Danio rerio: one gene and its partner. The protein of the gene in region 1 interacts with the protein of each later gene in a pairwise test. Links are inferred from orthologs where the notes say so. Each region holds a gene or a part of one and is shown on either strand. Other genes may lie near its edges.

Region 1 (11,030 bases):
TTGCTTTAGGGACAGATTCAACAGTTATAGTAGTAGGTGGCAAGGGGGGGAAAGCAGGCACTGTAAAAGGATTCTCAGGTGGAAGGAGAGGTGGCAGATCATCGTCCTCAAATGTTGCCAAAGGAGCAGGCTTTGGAAGAGTAGCAGTGGCTGGGGCATTTGGCTGGGCTGGGCCCGGCTTAGTAGGTGCTTTTGGTGAAGTAGTTTTAGTTTCTGAAACAGCAGTGCTTGGTGCCTTTGCAGCTTCAGACACTTTGGGTGGACTAGAAGCAACAGCTTCTGTAAACGATTTTGGTGCTGGGGCAGCAGCTTTGGAAGTTACTTTAAATGCCACAGGAGCCACAGCAATTTTGGGAGAGACAGGGATAGCATCTGCAGTACCTGCTGGTTTTGCTACCTCTGGTATAGCAAGAACTGGCAGAGCTGCACACTCTTGAGCAAGCTTGGAAGTAGAGGAAGGCACCTGCTCTTGTTCGGCAGGTTTAAAATTCTTTGCTTTTTGTTGCTTCCCTTGTTTGCCAGCCTTTACCACCTTGGGAGCAGTTTGCTCAGTTTTCCCAGCTAAAGGAGAGTCAGCAGGAGGAGAGGCTAAAGGAGAGCATGGAGGGGTAGCACGAGGGCCGGAGGCAGATTTAGGAGAAGTAGGAGAGCTTGAGGAAGCAGACAGAGAAGAGCGTTTCCTGCGTCCTGCAGGAACTGGCTTAGGAGCAGTGGTATGAGGAGATGAGGACAGTTTAGGGTTAGTTTTGCCATCTTTAGACTTTGCCTGAGAGGGGGCAGGGGCTGCAGCAGCAGGTGTGGCTAATGGAAATAAAAGGGCTAGAGTGACTTTTTGGCAATTAAAAAGTTGCATGGTGTAATCCATCACACCCATGCTGGTTACAAAGGATGCTTTTAGTTGCACAAGTGTTAAAATGCTCCTCAAATGCACAACTGGCTACCAAAGCAAAATCAAACAGACCAAATCTTGTTAGAAAAATTGAGAAACTAAAAACACCAATCAACTACACATGCAAAAATCTACACAATTGTCAGTAAACAGTGCAAAGATGATCATCACATCGAAATCCAATTAGGGTGGATACCAAAATAAGTGAAAATATAGTTCTCTACAACTAAGTGCAACAAAAAAGTATGAACAAAAATAAATCAAAATTGTTTATGAAGAGAAACAACATCTATGGTATTTAATTAGTCAGAAGGTGCTTTATCATAGGCCCAATATAAGAAATTAAATTAGAAAAAGGCTAAATAGTAGTTATAGTACAATAATACAATTAGTTAGAATTAATACAATCTGTAATATAGATACGCTGGTCTTATAACAAGCCAAGGATTAACTGGAAATTATAGCCTGGGCATTTCAGCAGTGTAGCGTAACTAAAATATGAGACTAAAAGAAACTCACGCATGTTTCAGTTCCATCAAAGACCATCAAAATGAAGCTTAAACAAATACTTATTAGGTGTTATTTTTGGCTATACAAGTCATCATTTTAAACTTAAGGGATTGTTTTATGTATATAGAAGCACGCATAACAAAACAGTATGACTTAAAAAAAAAAAAAAAAAAAAAAAACTGAGCACATGCTAGAAAATTCACTCTGACTTCAAACTTACTCTTTCAACAGTGCTAGCATGTGATAACTAAATAAATACAAATGTTCTGTGGTTTATGCTGCCAAATGTGCATGCTGAAGGAAGTTTACAATATGTTTATTAGACTACATTTAAAATTTAGCTTAGGCTATATCTGCATCTAAAAGACATGTTTGGGAGCAATAGGCAAGTGTTTATGGGTTTCATTGCTCCACATTTGAGTACAGAATGAAAGAGATATTAATTGTTGATATTGTGGCTTTCCTTTTTTAAACAACAAGTAGATTCAGGGCAGTCTCGTTAGCAGCATTAGCAGCTTTCACTTATGGTACCGGACTAGGCCCTCTGTACCAGTATATAAGAAAACATGGAAGTGTTAATTTTTTTCTTTAGAAGCCATTTGGTACTGAAGTACTGGTTCTTTTGGAAACACTAATATTGATATATACAGTACATGTTCTAAAAAGGTTCAAATGCATACATCTTAAAAACAAAGCACCAAAGAAACAAAACAAAAAAACACTATCTTTCTGGGTACAAACTATTTTCACTTGAATTAGTAAGCTAAAACAATTATATTAAACTACATGGTTTGTTTACTATAACACATATGCCAGTTCATGGTTAATTTCACTGGCTTGTAGTCATAACTTTAGCTTATCATAAATGGTAGCATCCTAAAGTGTTTGTACACTTAGAAGTTGACTTCACAAACCTATCAACTTCCAAATGTAAAATGCCTGTTGCACCCCACACTTTGGACAAAAGCTGTTGTTCCTTGTATACAATCTGAAATATATGTTCATGTTCCTAAAACAAAAAAAGGAAAGATCTTGCCAAAACAATTGCATTTTTTGAACAATCCCTGAACCAAACAGTACACTTTCTAACCTAACACAATATCCTAGGAGTAACAACTGTTTGAGTCATGATTACTAAAATCAGTGCAAAGTTAGGAAAATCATGCTGGGTTGCAATGTCCATACTCCATTCACACAAACCGTTAGACTTCGATTTACTGTACAGAGAAACCAACTGTTGACCAAGGTGGTCCTGGATTACTTAAAAAACAAAATGATCTTCCATTTCCTTGTGATGTAGCATTTTCATTCAAATAAAAGGTCAATGGAGTTAAATGATCTTTTAAACTAATGTGACTATTTTCTGAAACAAAATAAACTTTGAAAAACAATTAAATCGATAACATACAGCAGAATTGCCCTATAATGAAAATTGATGGCCAGTTTTTTTTTTATTACATGAATATAGTCCAAGCAACCCTTTAAAAACAGGGCTTCAGGCTCAGGTTATACTGTCAAAAGCAAAGACAAGTGAAACAGGAGAAACACTGTGAAACAAGTAAATCATCCATGTATTTACTTATAACTCAAATGTAACGGTATTAACTTAATGTTATATTTTTGGCAGAAAATGGCATACACATACAGAATTGTATAGTATTATACAATATATTATACATTATATTTAATGTACATTTATATTAAAGTATTAAAAGATTAAAAGCACAGGCTAATGTTTGTGCATTTATACCAGTGTGTTTTTATTGCAAGTTTAATAAGAATCCAAGTAACTTTTTGTCATATTTCAAGTTTTCATATAAACAATGTTATTGTGCACATAATTTTAATTAGTTTAAGTCTATAAACAAATATATATATATTTTTTTACATATACCACAGAAACAAAATATTTTTAAATTAGCTTGTTTTATCATAGCAGAGTGGCTAAATCCTGTGGGTTTTCATGAATTTGTCATTTAACATGCATGTATACTGTTTACCTCAATCTACAGTTAACTACATTTCTGAGACAAAAAATGCAATCCTATTATATTTTGAACCCGTGATACTAAAGCCTTCATTTGTAGAACTTGGCGGCACTGCTCTCAAAAGTTAGTACAGAGCCCTGCCTTTAAACGGACTAGTAATTTGTGTTTTTTTATTCAGGGAGTAGCTCAAGCACATTAACCTAAAACCTCTAGGAGGAGAAAAACTGACTCAACTGTATCCCCACCCTACACCACTCTGACTAGAGAAACTTGTTATGCGAAATCTCTACAACAGCTGCGAGAAGACCCTAAAAGAAACCTGAAGAAAGGCTAAAACAGGTGCAAAAACACCCTGAATAGAATAAGCAACATTTTGATAATAACCAGTACAATAAACAATATTTCCAGGACCACCTAGACAACCAGTGTTTAGTATCAGACATGCACTTTTAAAAGCAGTACTAACCCGTCTCAGCCTGGGGCTGCTGCATCTCCTGCTCTGTAACAGGGACAGTTTCTGTGGCTTCGCCTGGCATTCTGGACTAAAACAGAAATGAGAAACAATACATTATAAGCTTTACAAAGTCTGCATGAAGGTTTAGACATGCGTTAGTCAGTGCTTTGTGTTAATGAGGCTTTTTCTATTGAAACAGCAGCACTCTAGGCCTCTTCCTGTAGGCCTCTGCTGGCTGTCAGCTGTCCCACTACCGGCTCAGTTAAACACTGCTGTTGTCTCAAAGTATTGAGCTACATGATAACATTTCACAAGGCCACCGAACAGAATTTGTGAGCTTTATCAATTGCAAACAGGCAAACTGAACAAATAAGGCTTATAACGTCCCCAAACAGTTCCACACACTGTTCATGTGTGCGCGTGCACTGTGTTGCACATTTCACGTGTGTATCTTAACAGAGGAGCTCTGACACGTTACTGCTGAATGAAAGAACCTCATTACACAAATTACAATAAAACTTTTTTAAAGAAATGAGTTTATAATCCTTTATAATGTAACGTTAGGTTATACTGTTGACACAGCATGCGTTTTTAGAAACGTTACATGTTTAGGCAGCGAAGTTAACTATCCAGCCAGTGTTTATTGTCGCACGTCACGCAACAACCTTTCGTACGATTAAATTACAGATTTCTCACAATATATCGCTATAGTTGTATATAGTGCAACTTTTTGCAGGGTTAACATTTTCGTTAGACACAAAGCCCACGGCTGAAGTATAGCGAGCGGTGGTGCGTCTCGCTCCCCCATTTTGAACAGTCAGCCAGTTGTAATCATCAACATATTTCCTCAATAAGCCAAGCAAATTTACAAATCTTTACCATTCCAAACACAGCTACACTAAAGCATCAGCATAAGCTACAAATTATGTATTGAATTGGCTAAAGCAACGTTGGATGACAATAGATTTTACGCAGGAGTACTCACTAGTTCAGGGCACAGGATCCAAGATGGCTGTGAGAGAGGGTTTCTGACCTCTGCGTCACTCTGATGTCACTGCTCTGCTTCCGGTCCCAACAGGAAGTCACTGTCGGATAAGCTGAAGTCTATAACAAGAAACCACATTTTCAGGTAATTCTGTCTACACACTGTTATTTTTAAACACAATAGTTTATTTCAGAGTTGACCATGACGGAATATTGACAATACCTGATTTAAGGGAAGGTATGTGTCTTTGTTTACAACAGAGTGGCATTGCTAAGCTAACATGATTTTTCTGGGAAACGTTTGCTTCACGCACTCTAAGTTACTAATCAGTTTTTGTCATCCGAGAACAGGGTCCGTGTATCATCCGTTCATTTGATTATTCCTTTTATTACGGAAAACGAAACATCAGAAAAACGATGAATATTTCGTTTTTCTGTTTATTCTGTAGGCAGAAAAAACGGAAACTCATCTGTTATTCTGCTTATTAACTTAAAACGAAATATTAAAACAAACACAAAACCAAAACGAAATAATGAGTCAAAAAATGGTCCGTGTACATTTTGTTCATTTTTTTTCCAGTTTCAAACGGAATAAAGGAAATGGAGAAAACTGCCGTTTTTCCGTTTTTCTTTTGCTCACGAGAAAACGAAAAAACAAGATTTTGGCTGGATTTTCGTTTTTTGGTTTAGGGTAGGAAAACGGATAAACGACTTTAAAATTCATTTTACACATGTAGGCGGTGCTGAAACGCCCACTTTCCTCTAATTGGTCAACCAAATCTGCGCTCGTGACGTCACCCTCAAAATAAAAGCCTTACACGCAGGCTTTTAATTATTATTATTTAATTATATATATATTAACTAAGTTTACAGATTCTATCATTTGAACCACACACATTTAGCAGGCTTACATTCATTGCGTATGTATAAATTAAATAAAAACGTAAATCAGCAGTATTCTTAGACATTTGTCATTAAAATAAGGTCATAGTTCACTGCCAAGCTTCTTGCTGCTGTGCACCTGATGCAGAGCAAAGATAGCCATTTCCGAGCAGCACCTGGTTTACATGATTGTTTCAGAGCTATTGTAGGCCTAAATAATAGCCTACTCTGTATAAAATAATAATTTATTATTATTATTATTATTATTATTATTATTATTATTATTATTATTAGGCCTATTATTAGCAGTATTGTTATTATTATTATTTACTTAGTTATTTAATGGTTGTAAGAACACAATGGACCCTGCATGGGGCTATAATAAATGGTACCTGTTTCTATTGGATTTTCTCCTATTTTAATTTAATATGTGCCTTTAGCCTATTGTAAATATTTATTTGATAATTAATACTTTTTTATTGCAACGTCAAAGTAGGCCTGTCTTATTATTATTATTTTTTGTTATTATTTTGTCGTTGTTGTTGTTATTATTATTGTAGCAGGGACATAGCCACAGGTGTGGCAGAGTGTGCTGGTGCCACCCAAAGTGGCATCTTGCACCTGAAAATAGATGCCTTCGCACTCAAGCACGCGCAAAAAAACTTGCACAGGCAAAAGTAATGATGAATGTGTTGAAGGAAAAAAAAAACATTCTAATTATTTGTTAATTAAATAGTGCAACATTATTCTCAGTCAGTGTAGGCTGAAAAAATTAAGATCGCCAGCATTTCAAGGGTGGTTTTATTTTTAGTTCATTGCTGTGACGCGCTATATTTCACTAAGGCTACATGAGACTGCGCATCTTGCTTATTTTCTCTATTTTACATACAGAACATATCATACAGTCCAGGTTCTACCGTTCTAGTGAGTGTGGGGCATTGCTTTACGGTGGTAAAGTGGATTATTTCTTGGCAAATTCATAATGATTCACTTTGTTTAGTAATAAATTTCATAGTTATAAAATAACTACATTTCAAGAATATGTTAACACTTTCAACTATTTAGGATTATTTATTGCATCAAAAGTAATTTCAAAGTAACATTAAATGTACGTATAAACTGCTTAATTTGTGTGTGTAAACACCTAAGATGCAAAAAGCTTATTTAGACCAGAATAGGCCTACTAAATGCAACGGTCAATGTATGTAAACTTATGACCTAAAATGTCTTAAATGACTAAATGTAAGTCTTTTTAAGTTTTTAAATAATTTAAGTTTAACATAAATGATTTAAACTTTAAACTTCAAATTAACAGAGTATGGCAAATAAATTGTTTATTAAATGGAGGTCAGGTGTCTATCTTAATTATAATTATTAAATATTATGACACTACAGTGGTGTATTGGAGAGTACGCACCTTTTAATTAATTAATTTTAAATAAGTGGTTTATCCTAAATAAAATGCAATGGGATCGGTGTGCAATGAATAGTTTGAAAACCCCTGGTTCAGACTAGACGAGCTAGCTGTCTGTGCGCTGCGCTAATAACTTGGCATTTGCTCTTTTCGGTGCTGCCAGATGCATTTATAGTGCATAAAAATAAAAAAGGTAATTCGGTAAAGCGCGCGATGCGCGCAGAAATAAGCGCACTATATGCATATGTCGAATTAAGTTCTCTTTTTCTTTAATCAAGACTTTTCCATTCGAGGAATTACAGTTATTAATAGCTTAATCCTTATAAACGATCAGTTTATAAAATACACAATTTACGGATCAAGCCTAATGAAGAATAAGAAGAATATGCAACGCATTATGATCCTTGAATGATCAGAGCGCATTTATATAAACTATATATTTTATATATTCCATAAATATTAAAAAACATTATACATTTAAAGTAATAAAACATTATATGTTATAAAATCTAAACTATTATTTAGGCTACAGGCTGTTCAGCGCGTGCGTCAAAGAAAAGACATGACACAATCTCTATAAAAACTAGTTGTTTATTTACAATATCTAAAGGGATATAAAACATCTAACATGCATCTCCATTCTCAACGAGTTTCTGTGTTCTGCATTCTTCACAGACCGAGATCTCATTCCGAGGTAATCTGTAAATATTCTCATTTGGTTCTGGCACATTCTTGATTAAAGGTGAAACTGACCGGCGCAACGGATGATTTGTCATCTAGAGTGACTACAGTTATAATACAGGTTATGGAACTATTTCACTTTAATTTCATATTATTATTTTATTAAACAAACAAACCAGTTTTTGTTTTGGCTCTGCATGCAGCGTATTGGATCTTTGAAGCATTGCACTTCAAATGTTATTCCTTTTTTTTATTATTGTATTTTTAATATTTTTAATTATACAACACAAAATTGGTTCTAAACAGATACATTTTCCTATAGGCTATAATGAAGTGTATATTTTTGTTCACACAGGTCCTATACAAAACTGTGTGGATGGATGATTTGTTTCTCCGTGAAAATCACTCATTTAATAAGCAAAACAGGCCAAAATGTTGTTTAGCTTGCGTCAAACTGGATGGACAATTTACAAACATATTGAATACAAAGGCTGGTTATTTTATGCAATGAGGGACCTATTACAAATTAAAGAAAATTATTTGCATATTAAAACGAAAATATATAATACAACAACAGATCCTACCTCGTAAGAAATGACTTTAGATAATGTAAATAAGCATCAAGTTTTTTTTTGAGATTGTGTGTCTAATTCAGTAGTGTAGTGCGTTCGCGTGGGTTTCCTCCGGGTGCTCCGGTTTTCCCCACAGTAAAAAGACATGCGGTACAGGTGAATTGGGTAGGCTAAATTGTCCGTACTGTATAAGTGTGTGTGTATGTGTGGATGTTTCCCAGAGATGGGTTGTGGCTGGAAGGGCATCCGCTGCATAAAAACTTGCTAAATAAGTTGGCGGTTCATTCCGCTGTGGCGACCCCAGATTAATAAAGGGACTAAGCCGACAAGAAAATGAATGAATAATGTGCAATACTAATTTAAAATACGTATCACTAACCTTATATGTGAAATAGCAGGGCCCGCTGTAGCACTTTCTCAAGAAGAGCAAATGTCAAATTATTAGCGCAACGCACATGTAGCGAGCTCATCTGTTTGTCGGAACTACTAGACACAATTTTTTTATCAACTATAATGTGTTTAATTAGTTAATTTGAAATTTATGTCATTATTCCAGCAATAATTGTTGAGTGAAAGAATGCGCTAGAAATATGCATTGCGGCTCCCTTTATTGTACAGGCTTATTGCACTTAAACTTTTTTAGGTTCGGCTCTCGAATTAGTAAGGTTATGAGTAAATGTTATTTAAAATATTTAAAGCCTGCCATCTAGCCTACAATAACAGCAAATTTAATTAAAAAAAATAATAATAAGACAGGCCTACTTTGGCGTTGCAATAAAATAGTATTAATTATCAAATAAATAATTACAATATATAATTAAAATAGGAAGAAATAAATGAAAACAAATGGTACCCTTTGTTTTTATAGCAGGGCCCAAAGTGTTCTTATTCGGGTTCTGCTAACAACTATTAAAAAGAAAAAAAACACACCAAACAATAAAAACACTAGTAACTGATAATAATAATAATAATAATAATAATAATAATAATAATTATTATTATTATTATTATTATTATTATTATTATTATTATAAAGCCCTTGCTCTGAAACAATCATGCAAACCAGGTGCTGCTCGGAAATGGCTATCTTTGCTCTGCATCAGGTGCACAGCAGCAAGAAGCTTGGCAGTGAACTATGACCTTATTTTAATGACAAATGTCTAAGAATACTGCTGATTTACGTTTTTATTTAATTTATACATACGCAATGAATGTAAGCCTGCTAAATGTGTGTGGTTCAAATGATAGAATCTGTAAACTTAGTTAATATATATATAATTAAATAATAATAATTAAAAGCCTGCGTGTAAGGCTTTTATTTTGAGGGTGACGTCACGAGCGCAGATTTGGTTGACCAATTAGAGGAAAGTGGGCGTTTCAGCACCGCCTACATGTGTAAAATGAATTTTAAAGTCGTTTATCCGTTTTCCTACCCTAAACCAAAAAACGAAAATCCAGCCAAAATCTTGTTTTTTCGTTTTCTCGTGAGCAAAAGAAAAACGGAAAAACGGCAGTTTTCTCCATTTCCTTTATTCCGTTTGAAACTGGAAAAAAAATGAACAAAATGTACACGGACCGTACACGGACCATTTTTTGACTCATTATTTCGTTTTGGTTTTGTGTTTGTTTTAATATTTCGTTTTAAGTTAATAAGCAGAATAACAGATGAGTTTCCGTTTTTTCTGCCTACAGAATAAACAGAAAAACGAAATATTCATCGTTTTTCTGATGTTTCGTTTTCCGTAATAAAAGGAATAATCAAATGAACGGATGATACACGGACCGAACACTCTGTTTACGGATGTTTGTGCTTATGTATCCAACATTACTGTTTTGCTTATGTAAGTGATGTTTTTTAATCCTATGTAGACCCAGCAGACCCTAAAACACCACTAAGCAAATGAGAGGGATGATATCCTACAATTTTATGCACCTAACGTAACTTACACATTATATCTAAATACTGACATATCTTCATTCAAATATTTTGTGCTCTCAGATGCTAATCATGGTTTGTGTTATTATAATTTTTTTTGTATTATATTATTTGTGTAAAGAAACAATGACAGTATTACTACAAATACTGTGAGAAATCTTTGGTCATGCATATGATTGTATTCAAATTTTCTTGTTTAAAAAAAAATAGCAAAATAATATTATCATAACATTGTAACAAGTTGCAAAAAAAGAGCAAGACAATGAAATGACAGGGGGTCGCTTGGTGATATCCAAAAGTCAAATAAATCTCATTAAATTATTAGAAGTACCATATTTTATCCATAACCCACAGAGGATATAAAAAAGTAGGTAATAGTTTCATAAAAAAGCAACATGCAAAAAAAGAAAAAAAGCCATCAGCCTTTAAATGATTTTTTTCATAGAATTAGTGTGTTTACAATAATAGCGTCAGCTGCAGCAGATTGATTTTGTAGCAGCAGGTTAAACTTTCTGACACCTTGATAGCAATCGAATACATCAAACAGGCCACAACTGAACATTGAGAATGATCTCTGAGTGGTGGTCTCCAAAATTAAACCAAGAATAGACTTGTGCTGAAAACATTGTGCACACCATTCTCATTAGGTGAGGTTAATATTAAATTAAACAAATTCATAAATGACCAATATAAATTACAGCCTGTTGTTGTTAGACTGTT
Region 2 (10,480 bases), on another chromosome or scaffold:
ATCGGAGTGATTGGTCCTAAGCAAATCCCCCAGTCGATCAACCTGACATAAATGTCTCTGTTCCCTCATTTGGGGAATGGGAGTTACATAAATAGACGACGTTCATTTAGCTGACCTGAGATCAGTTTGTCTATTGGTCATCTACCTCAGGGGTTCCCAAACTTTTCAGCACGCGACCCCTAAAATAACAATGCCAGTGACTCGCGACCCCCAATATCCTCTGAGGTGGTTATAAATACAGAAAACTTGCATGCAATGGCGCACACACACACACCAATAGACCAAAGTCTATTCTTTGTTTTTTTATGTATGTCAGTGCTGTAAATGGGCCAGAAAGTTTAACCTGGTGTTATAAAATCAATCTGCTGCATCTGACGCTATTGCTGTCTTTAATATAATGCATTTACCCCAGGGGTCGCAATCCAATAGAACAAGTAAATAAGCTACTATAGTAACTATGAACGTTTTATATAGTTTTTTTTATATAGTTTTTTAAATAGTTTTTTCTCTTCAGTTGGTTATGGATAAAATATGGTAATTCTTATGGCCTAATAATAAGTAGATTTTTGGAAATCACCAGGCAACCCCCCCTTCATTGTTCCGCGACCCCTCAAGGGGTCCCGACCCACACTTTGAGAACCACTGATCTACCTGACCTGAGATCAGTGTGTGTAGTGTTCATCCAGCTAACCTGAGATCAGTGCATTCCTCTAGCTGACCTAAGATCCGTGTGATTATTTAGCTGACCTGAGATCAGAGTGTTTATCTTGCTGGTCTGAGATCAGTGTGTTCCTCTAGCTAACCTGAGATCAGCGTGTTCATCTAGCTGGTCTGAGATCAGTGTGTCTCACCAGTTTAATGGCTTTTCTTCTCATCTCCCACTCGTTCCACTCATAGGAGGTGCAGATGTTGCTCTGCAGAGGGTGGATCTCCGTCTGAACACCGGCGTCACTTTTAGAGATGCTTTTCAGCAGCAGTTTCTGTCCGGATGGCATCTGAGAAACGAACAACACACACCTTACAACACACACATCAGATATCACAAACTAACAACAATGCAAATAAGGAAAGATTGACTGCACTTTTCTGTTTCGTTAGTGTATGGCCTGTTTATCACCCATAGGAACTTTAGTTCTCTTTAGTAATAAAGCATGTGTGTCTCAGAACTCCTCTCTGAGGGCTCTGGATCTTCTCTTCAGAGCTGTATTGTTCCTCACCCCTGCTGTCAGACTCTGGTGTCCCGCTGGCAGCTGAGAGTATGCAGTGCTGCTGGTGAAGTGCTGCTGCAGCTGCAGCAGCTGGATGAGTTCAGGTGTTCTGCTGGCCGTCTCCAGCACCGCTGCTGTGTATTCATCTGCTCGACAGGAGAACTCGTATGCTGCGCTCCTGCTGCTGAACGCGTAATATTTCTCCTTGTGCTTCAGCACGCCGATGCTTGTGTTACCTGAGAACAGGAGAGCATGCGCACGTTAGCATTTGTTTCTTATCTTTTCTCCTCTATTGTGACAATCTCACTTCAGGATGACGAACAAATGTGGGCGGGGCTTGATTTTGTGCACAGGGAACTGATTGGACAGTTGTATTCTGCTATTGGTGGATCTCATTTGAGTGACAGGTTGACTCCACCCTCATAACAGTAAACACCAATCAGAAAACAGATGTCATTGGAGAGATGTTAATTTACAATAAACAAAATATTATAAAAGTTAATAGACAAACTTTATGGTGGCTTGAGAAAGCCTCGTCTACAAGTTTGAAGTAGCTTTAAAAGTTAAATCATTATAGTAGTTTTTAAGAAGCTTGCATTCTCAGGTTTCTAGTATGAGTTGTCATGTTTCTTGCTAAGGTGTACCTAGGGTGTTCTGAGTGGTTACTAAGGCATTGCTAGACGGTTGCTAGGGTGTTCTAGGTGGTTGCTAAGCTGTTCTGATTGGTTGCTAGGTGGTTGCTAGGGTGTTCTAGGTTGTTACTAAGGTGTTATTAGGTGGTTGCTACAGTGTTCAGAATGGTTGCTAAGGTGTTGCTAGGTGGTTGCTAAGGTGTTCTAGGTTATTGCTAAGGTGTTGCTAGGTCATTGCTAGGTGGTTGCCTAGATGTTCTAGGTGATTATTAAGGAGTGCTAGGCACTTCCTTAAGTGTTGCTAGGTGATTGCTAGGGTTTTCTTAGTGGTTGCTAAGGCGTTGCTAGGTGATTGCTCAGGTCTTTCTAGGGGGTTGCTAAGTGGTTGCTATGGTGTTTTTACTGGTGTCTAGATGGTTGCTAAGGCATAGGTGGATGCTAAGGTGATGTTAGGTGGTTGCTAGGGTGTTCTGAGTGGTTGCTAAGGTGTTACAAGGTGGTTACTACGGCATTGCTGGGTGGTTGCTAAGGTGTTGCTAGGCGTTTGCTAAGGTGTTCTGAGTGGTTGCTAACATAAATTAGCATGTTTCTAGTATTATGTATCTAGTATTAGCATTATGCTAGCATTTTTCAAGCTTAAATTAACACATTGTTAGGATGGTTCTAGTATGAATTAGCATGTTATTAGCATGTTTCTAGTATAAACTAGCATGTGGCAAGCATGCATTTAGTATAAATTAGCATGTTGCTAGTATTTGTATAGTATGAATTAGCATGTAACTAGTATGATCAGTATGTCCGTTAGTATGGATTGGTATGTTGTCAGTATGTCCAATGTAAAGTCAATGGCAGTTGTAACAATGGAAGGCTATGGGACAGTTGCTAGGGTGCCGTAAGTGGTTGCTAGGTGTGGCTAAAAAGTTGAAAGGTCATCAGTGATTGGCAGATTGGTAGTCTGAGATAAATGAGCCCAACCTTAAGTCTGTATGACAGTCTGGCGCAAAGTTATGAGAATCACAAATTTTAGTCCAATGTTAAGTCAATGGGACTTTTCTGAATATTCCAGGTCAGTTTTCAGAAAAGCCTAAGTCGGATCAGTTGGAAAAGATATGGCAACTTAATTCAGTATAGTTTGGAGGTTTGGTGTTAGTTTGGTGGTTGTAGTTTGAACAGTCTAGGAGGAGATGCATTTAGAAGTTAATCTCTGAAGAAGACGACGGAAGAATAAGAAGTTTAGAACAGTATGCTGCTTTCTCAAGCCGCCATAATAATTTATTATGAACAGTGCAATATTCCACAACAACAGCAATAATCAATCATACACTTTGTTTTTGCAGTGATAAAATCTCAGCTACTGTTTCCTGTTTGTACCTGGCAGTAAAAGGCCATTTCTGTCCACCAGAGCGACTCCGCAGAAGCCGTTATACTGCAGCGGCAGATGCTGGAAGTCTGCAGTGCTTTCAGGAAAACAGCATTCACACGAGCTCGTCTCTGACACCAGCACACGCTCCTCTGAACACACACACACACACACACACACAACATTAGGAATCTCTTCACACACAAAGACATCAGGAATCAGAGTATGAATCTCAACAACGATGATATTCTTCATGCTGCAGTGCATGCTGGGAGAATCCTACAAAACTCATGCACGGCTCCCAGAATGCACTGCAGCAATATATCAGCCTTCAACATAAGATTGAAACAATGAATAACAATTAATTTACTCAAATCTGTAGTTCAAACATGATTGAATAGCAGAGTCAGATGCTAACAGAGAGATGCTGCTCCTGTCGGCTTCACACACACCCTAGAAAACTACATCTAAATCTACAGTCAATATCCCTAATATTTCAGAACTTTGACAGAAATATAAACGAAATATAACTAAATATTAAAAATATGAACTTCAGAATAACTAATTATTAAAGATATAAACATCTCTGACTTTCAGTGTCTGGAAAAGAGCTTTTATAACCCCATGATGCTCCAGAAACCCTTAATCTGGAGTCGTGTCGATGAAGAGTTGAGTGAAACCAGCAGATCTGAGTGACATATTAACACGTGTGCGTGTGTTTGTGTGTGTGTGTGTGTGTGTGTGTGTGTGACCTGCTGTCCCAGAGCATCTGTCAGCATCAGTGCGCACCGGGAGCTCCATCTGATCTGGGGTCAGCAGAGACTCTGCTGTCAGGAAGACTCTCAGTCCAGACGCCACATTAGTGAGCATGCTCAGTAGCAGCATCTCCTGCTCTAGCCCCGCCCACAGCCGGCCCACTGCACTGAAATGAGGCTGAAGAGGAGAGGAACACACAGAAACTAGTTACCATGACGCCACTACAAAACAAACACTAACTAACCACCACACACGCACACTAACATTACTAATCAGCGCACACACACTAACAACACTAAACTGCACACACACACACACACACACACTAAACTGCCCTAAACCGCGCTCACACACACTAACCGCACACACACTGACATTACTAATCAGCGCACACACACTAACAACACTAAATAGCGCACACACACACACTAACATTACTAATCAGCGCCCACACACTAACAACACTAAACTGCACACACACACACACACACACACTAACATTACTAATCAGCGCACACACACTAACAACACTAAACTGCACACACACACTAACATTACTAATCAGCGAACACACTAACAACACTAAACAGCAGACACACAACACTAAACTGCACACACACACACACACACACACACACACTAAACTGCCCTAAACCGCACTCACACACACTAACCGCACACACACTGACATTACTAATCAGCGCACACACACTAACAACACTAAATAGCGCACACACACACTAACATTACTAATCAGCGCCCACACACTAACAACACTAAACTGCACACACACACACACACACACACACACACACACACACACACTAACATTACTAATCAGCGCACACACACTAACAACACTAAACTGCACACACACACACACTAACATTACTAATCAGCGCCCACACACTAACAACACTAAACTGCACACACACACACACACACACACACACACACACACTAACATTACTAATCAGCGCGCACACACTAACAACACTAAACTGCACACACACACACTAACATTACTAATCAGCGAACACACTAACAACACTAAACAGCAGACACACAATAACATTACTAATCAGCGCATACACACTAACATTACTAATCAGCGCACACACACTAACAACACTAAACTGTACACACACACACACACTAACATTACTAATCAGCGCACACACACTAACAACACTAAACTGTACACACACACACACTAACATTACTAATCAGCGCACACACACTAACAACACTAAACAGCAGACACACAATAACATTACTAATCAGCGCATACACACTAACATTACTAATCAGCGCACACACACTAACAACACTAAACTGTACACACACACACACACACTAACATTACTAATCAGCGCACACACACTAACAACACTAAACTGTACACACACACACACACTAACATTACTAATCAGCGCACACACACTAACAACACTAAACAGCAGACACACAATAACATTACTAATCAGCGCATACACACTAACATTACTAATCAGCGCACACACACTAACAACACTAAACTGTACACACACACACACACTAACATTACTAATCAGCGCACACACACTAACAACACTAAACTGTACACACACACACACACTAACATTACTAATCAGCGCACACACACTAACAACACTAAACTGTACACACACACACACACTAACATTACTAATCAGCGCACACACACTAACAACACTAAACTGTACACACACACACACAATAACATTACTAATCAGCGCATACACACTAACATTACTAATCAGCGCACACACACTAACAACACTAAACTGTACACACACACACACACTAACATTACTAATCAGCGCACACACACTAACAACACTAAACTGTACACACACACACACACTAACATTACTAATCAGCGCACACACACTAACAACACTAAACAGCAGACACACAATAACATTACTAATCAGCGCATACACACTAACATTACTAATCAGCGCACACACACTAACAACACTAAACTGTACACACACACACACTAACATTACTAATCAGCGCACACACACTAACAACACTAAACTGCACACACACACTAACATTACTAATCAGCGCACACACACACACTAACAACACTAAACTGCACACACACACACACACACACACACACACTAACATTACTAATCAGCGCACACACACACACTAACAACACTAAACGCGCTCACACACACACTAACCGCACACACACTGACATTACTAATCAGCGCACGCACTAACAACACTAAATAGCGCACACACACTAACATTACTAATCAGCTCACACACACTAACAACACTAAACCGCACACACACACACACACACACTAACATTACTAATCAGCGCACACACACACACACACAAACACACTAACAACACTAAACTGCACTAAACCGCGCTCACACACACACTAACCGCACACACACTGACATTACTAATCAGCGCACACACTAACAACACTAAATAGCACACACACACACTAACATTACTAATCAGCGCACACACAGCACACACTAACAACACTAAACCGCGCTCACACACACACTAACATTACTAATCAGCGCACACACACTAACAGCACACACACACTAACAACACTATACAGCACACACACACTAACATTACTAATCAGCGCACACACACAATATATACACACACACACACACTAACAACACTAAACTGCACACACACAACACACACTAACAACACACTAACATTACTAATCAGCGCACACACACTAACAGCACACACACACTAACAACACTATACAGCACACACACACACACACTATACTAATCAGCGCACACACACAATATACACACACACACACACTAACAACACTAAACTGCACACACAACACACACTAACAACACACTAACATTACTAATCAGCTCACACACACACACTAACATTACTAATCAGCGCACACACACTAACAACACTAAACCGCGCTCACAAAAACACACTAACATTACTAATCAGCGCACACACACTAACAGCACACACACACACACACACACACTAACATTACTAATCAGCTCACACACACACACACACACACACACACACACACACACACACACAAACAGCTATAAAACAATATCTGTGTATTCTCATTCCTCTTGGAGTGTCCGTGTCTGTGCATGTGTTAGACATCAGTCTCAATATTCAGTTTCTGCAATAAACGTCTCTGCATCTTTCGGTTCACACAGACTTTAATGCAGATTTATGCACTGTGTCATATCACTCAGCTCTTACTGTGGTTTTTCTGTAGTGAAAGACCGCAATACACTTTAATATCAGTTACTATGGTGAAACAGTGTAAAATGCAGTATATGAGGGACTCACAAACACGTGTGTTGTTGGCACTGTAGTTTTGGTGTGAATGGCGTCTCTCAGGAGTGTCATTCGACTCATCAGATCCGACTGTAAACGTGTCACTTCCTGTGCACACAGGATGACGTCCGCCTGATGGAAACATCAACACCACATTATTACACTGTTTACATAATTAAACACTCATTCGTTACACCCCCTGTTGTCTGAAAACTCAACATTAGTGCTCATTCACAATTACATGCTGTATTTGACTCAAATAAATAAAAACCCTTCTGCTGAATATGAATATGCATGATGAAAAACATTTGTTAGGGTCAGTATATTCTACACAATATCTGTCTATTCTCGCTCCTCTTGAAGTATGTGTGTCTATGTGTTAGACATCAGCCTTTCCAGATCACTGAGCGCCTACTCACACCATGCTATCTGAATCATGCCCAGGCCCGTTTCCTGGATCGTTTGAGAAGTGTGAGTGCTCTGAATCAGGGTCAGGCACGGTTCACTTGGCCAGCCCTGGCCCGGTTCGAAGAGGTGGGCTTGAGTACCATACAATTGTGTGAGATTGCAAAACGTGCCTGAGCCCGAAACTGAAAGCGAGACGTGACTTTTAAGGGACTGTTTGATATGGATTTATTAATCATTCTTACCGTTCAATAATCACAAACTGTCGTAGATTATTAAAGACGCAAACCACTCACTGCACCACAGCTGCACCTTCAGCAAACCTCCTAATTCTTGCAGCTCGAGGACTTTATGATTGTTTATGAGCGTCAAAAGTGGCTGATCTGTTCAGCGAAATATTTGACTGCATGTCACTGCATATCAAACCACTAAAGCGATATGACTGAAGAAATCTCCACTGTGCTGAGCGAGAGCGCTTACTGGACAGCGCAGCATCAATGACGTGCCCAGGCCCGAATGTAATGTGAGTGCGGGCTGTTAGGGGAGACGAGAGGTGGGGACAAGCGTGCTTTGTCCTGGTTCAAGGCAACTGTACATAGTGTGAGTACGCCCTTACATTCATTCATTCAATCATTCATTTTCCTTTCGGCTTTAGGGCGTACTCAGCACTCTACTGGACTGCTGGAGCTCAGACGCTGGAGCACATGACAAAGTGTACGTGTGTGTGGTCATGTGGTGTGCATTTTCATCGGTATCGTGTGGACGGAGGCTTGTTCAAAAATACTAAATGAAACGCCAGTGTGGATGTGGATTGTTTTCGTTTTAAAATGGCATTTTAAAATTACAGTTTTTCTTGTTTGCTTTGACCTGGTTAAAGAAACTAGGTTCCACTTCATTTTCATTATCACTATCACAGCAGAGCAGAAGACAGGTCTTGCAAATGTGTAAACCCTTTCTCATTGGGTTGACACATTTTCCCCACCATTTTTCAAAAGCGTTAACACGGATGTCATTCAAGCAGTCCAAACTCCATTGTTTTAGCTATGATAACCAAACAGAAACCATCTATTCCTAACCATTAGAAACCACCAAGATCAGTATGAATCCACTGAAGCACCGGTTTGACACTCCTTCACACAAATCTTCATTTAGCAATCAGTCTGCAAACATTGAAAATGGTGGAAGGTCTGTGTTGTTCTGTGACAGCATGGATGGAGAAGGTCAATAGTGGCTATGTGCCATATTCCCAAAAGATTTCACTGTATATTGGTTTACATGTGTGCATTTTTTTACAGTATTGCATTTTTCAGCCACAGTTTGAAAAATGTCATGAATTCAATATAAATTTAATCAAAGTATTTCTTATTCTGGATCCAATTCTCTTTGCAAAAAGGCAAATTTGACAGCCCAAATAGAAAGACAACAAATGGCATTGGCAATAGGCTACAATGTCAAGCAACAGTGCACTGATTCACACTGAGTTCTGTATTTTGTTGTCTATTGTGTAATGATTAATTGAAAGAGTTCATATACTTGTTTGCAAGTTGTGTTGTTTGAAGGTAAAACTAGCTTTTGTTGTATATGTTAAATGTTTTGACACGGTATGTGCATTTTGCAAGCAAATTGTGTCATTTTGACCAAGAGTGCCGCTGTTTAGGCCAGTGTGTGTTAACTGTTTTGAAAATGTGGAGTTTCAGTTGACGGCTGCATCAAATCAATCAAGAAAAACTGTAAGATCAAGTGTGCCGCAAGCCTACGTTTGAGTGAAGGTCTCGGCCGTTAGATCGCCCCCTTGGGGCTGGCTGCAGTACAAGTCATAAAGCCCGCCTCCTCCGTGTTAATGAAGGAGACTTGAGCCCAAGTAAAAAAAATTATTACACTTGCAATAAAATGTCCCGAAAGATGGTTCTGGTGGATTAAGGCGCTGGTTATTGTGCTGAAATAGGTGCAGATCTTCATTTTTGTAAACAGTTTGTTTTTAGCAGTAATTTAATGCTGGGCGTGTCATCGTGATTGACAGCGGTGATTGACAGTTTCTCAAAGCAGCGCGTCTGAGCTTCGGCAGGAGACTGAAGTGTTTTTATTCGATTTCTGTGTTATTTTACCATGATAAGATGAGTTCAGCAGTAAACTACAGTTTCTGACATACATGATCCTGGTGGAACACTGTTTATTCGCTAAGGTCAGAGCTTTTTTCGGGCTTTATTAGTTTGCTGATACACGCCTAACCACCCAGATGACAAAATACACTCGGACCAGTTCGGCTAGATTCTCGCCTGCCGGAGACTTACCCCTCAGAGCTCAGACTGACTACCTCTGCTGGACCTACTCCGGATGCCTGGACTCACTGCCCGATTCCAGCCCGAGTCAATCGAGCCAGATGCGGCGGCCGAGCGAGCCGGCGCTGCCGCATGCGAGGCGGAATCAGCCCGCGACGCCGCGAGTAGGTTAAGCGCTGCGGCCCGGAGCTGGCGCGATTGAATATAAAAAAAAACTCATATTTGTTAACGTTATTACATCCATTTGTGTTGATATGACAGCAAACGCATGCTGAGAAGTTCGGGGGGCGTGGTTGATTTTACATAAAGCGTTTGGTTGGAAGCTCGACTCATTTTCGCGGCTCCTCCTCTGGCTCCATCAGACAGTCCTTCTGCGCATGTCAAGGCTCCAATTTCAGCAGTCTTTTGAGACAGTTTGTGCCCGTAAAGCAGGTGTTTTGCCCTCAAGGCGTTTAATGGGAAAAGGGGCTGTCGCGTCGTCCATA

What was found. The genes of interacting proteins can lie anywhere in the genome.
Region 2: the proteins of tfip11 (region 1) and cfap206 interact in binary tests that used the Homo sapiens proteins (3 or more experiments, as listed by UniProt). The two-hybrid records come from large-scale screens. The link is inferred for Danio rerio from reciprocal best matches to the Homo sapiens genes TFIP11 and CFAP206.

What each region holds. Positions count from the first base shown.
Region 1 is NC_133198.1:20,760,963-20,771,992, reverse strand, and holds the start of tfip11 (tuftelin-interacting protein 11), read left to right. Parts: upstream 1-4,917; 5' UTR 4,918-4,970; exon of another isoform or gene 4,971-5,063; intron 5,064-7,796; 5' UTR 7,797-7,923; intron 7,924-11,030. Other genes in the region: naca (nascent polypeptide-associated complex subunit alpha), read right to left, coding at 1-874. UniProt on the Homo sapiens protein: Involved in pre-mRNA splicing, specifically in spliceosome disassembly during late-stage splicing events. Intron turnover seems to proceed through reactions in two lariat-intron associated complexes termed Intron Large (IL) and Intron Small (IS).
Region 2 is NC_133195.1:2,739,533-2,750,012, forward strand, and holds part of cfap206 (cilia- and flagella-associated protein 206), read right to left. Parts: intron 7,444-10,480; coding exon 7,324-7,443; intron 7,244-7,323; exon of another isoform or gene 7,037-7,243; intron 5,615-7,036; exon of another isoform or gene 5,074-5,614; intron 4,134-5,073; coding exon 3,953-4,133; intron 3,353-3,952; coding exon 3,212-3,352; intron 1,445-3,211; coding exon 1,218-1,444; intron 996-1,217; coding exon of another isoform or gene 981-995; coding exon 852-980; exon of another isoform or gene 549-851; intron 447-548; exon of another isoform or gene 402-446; intron 1-401. UniProt on the Homo sapiens protein: Essential for sperm motility and is involved in the regulation of the beating frequency of motile cilia on the epithelial cells of the respiratory tract. Required for the establishment of radial spokes in sperm flagella.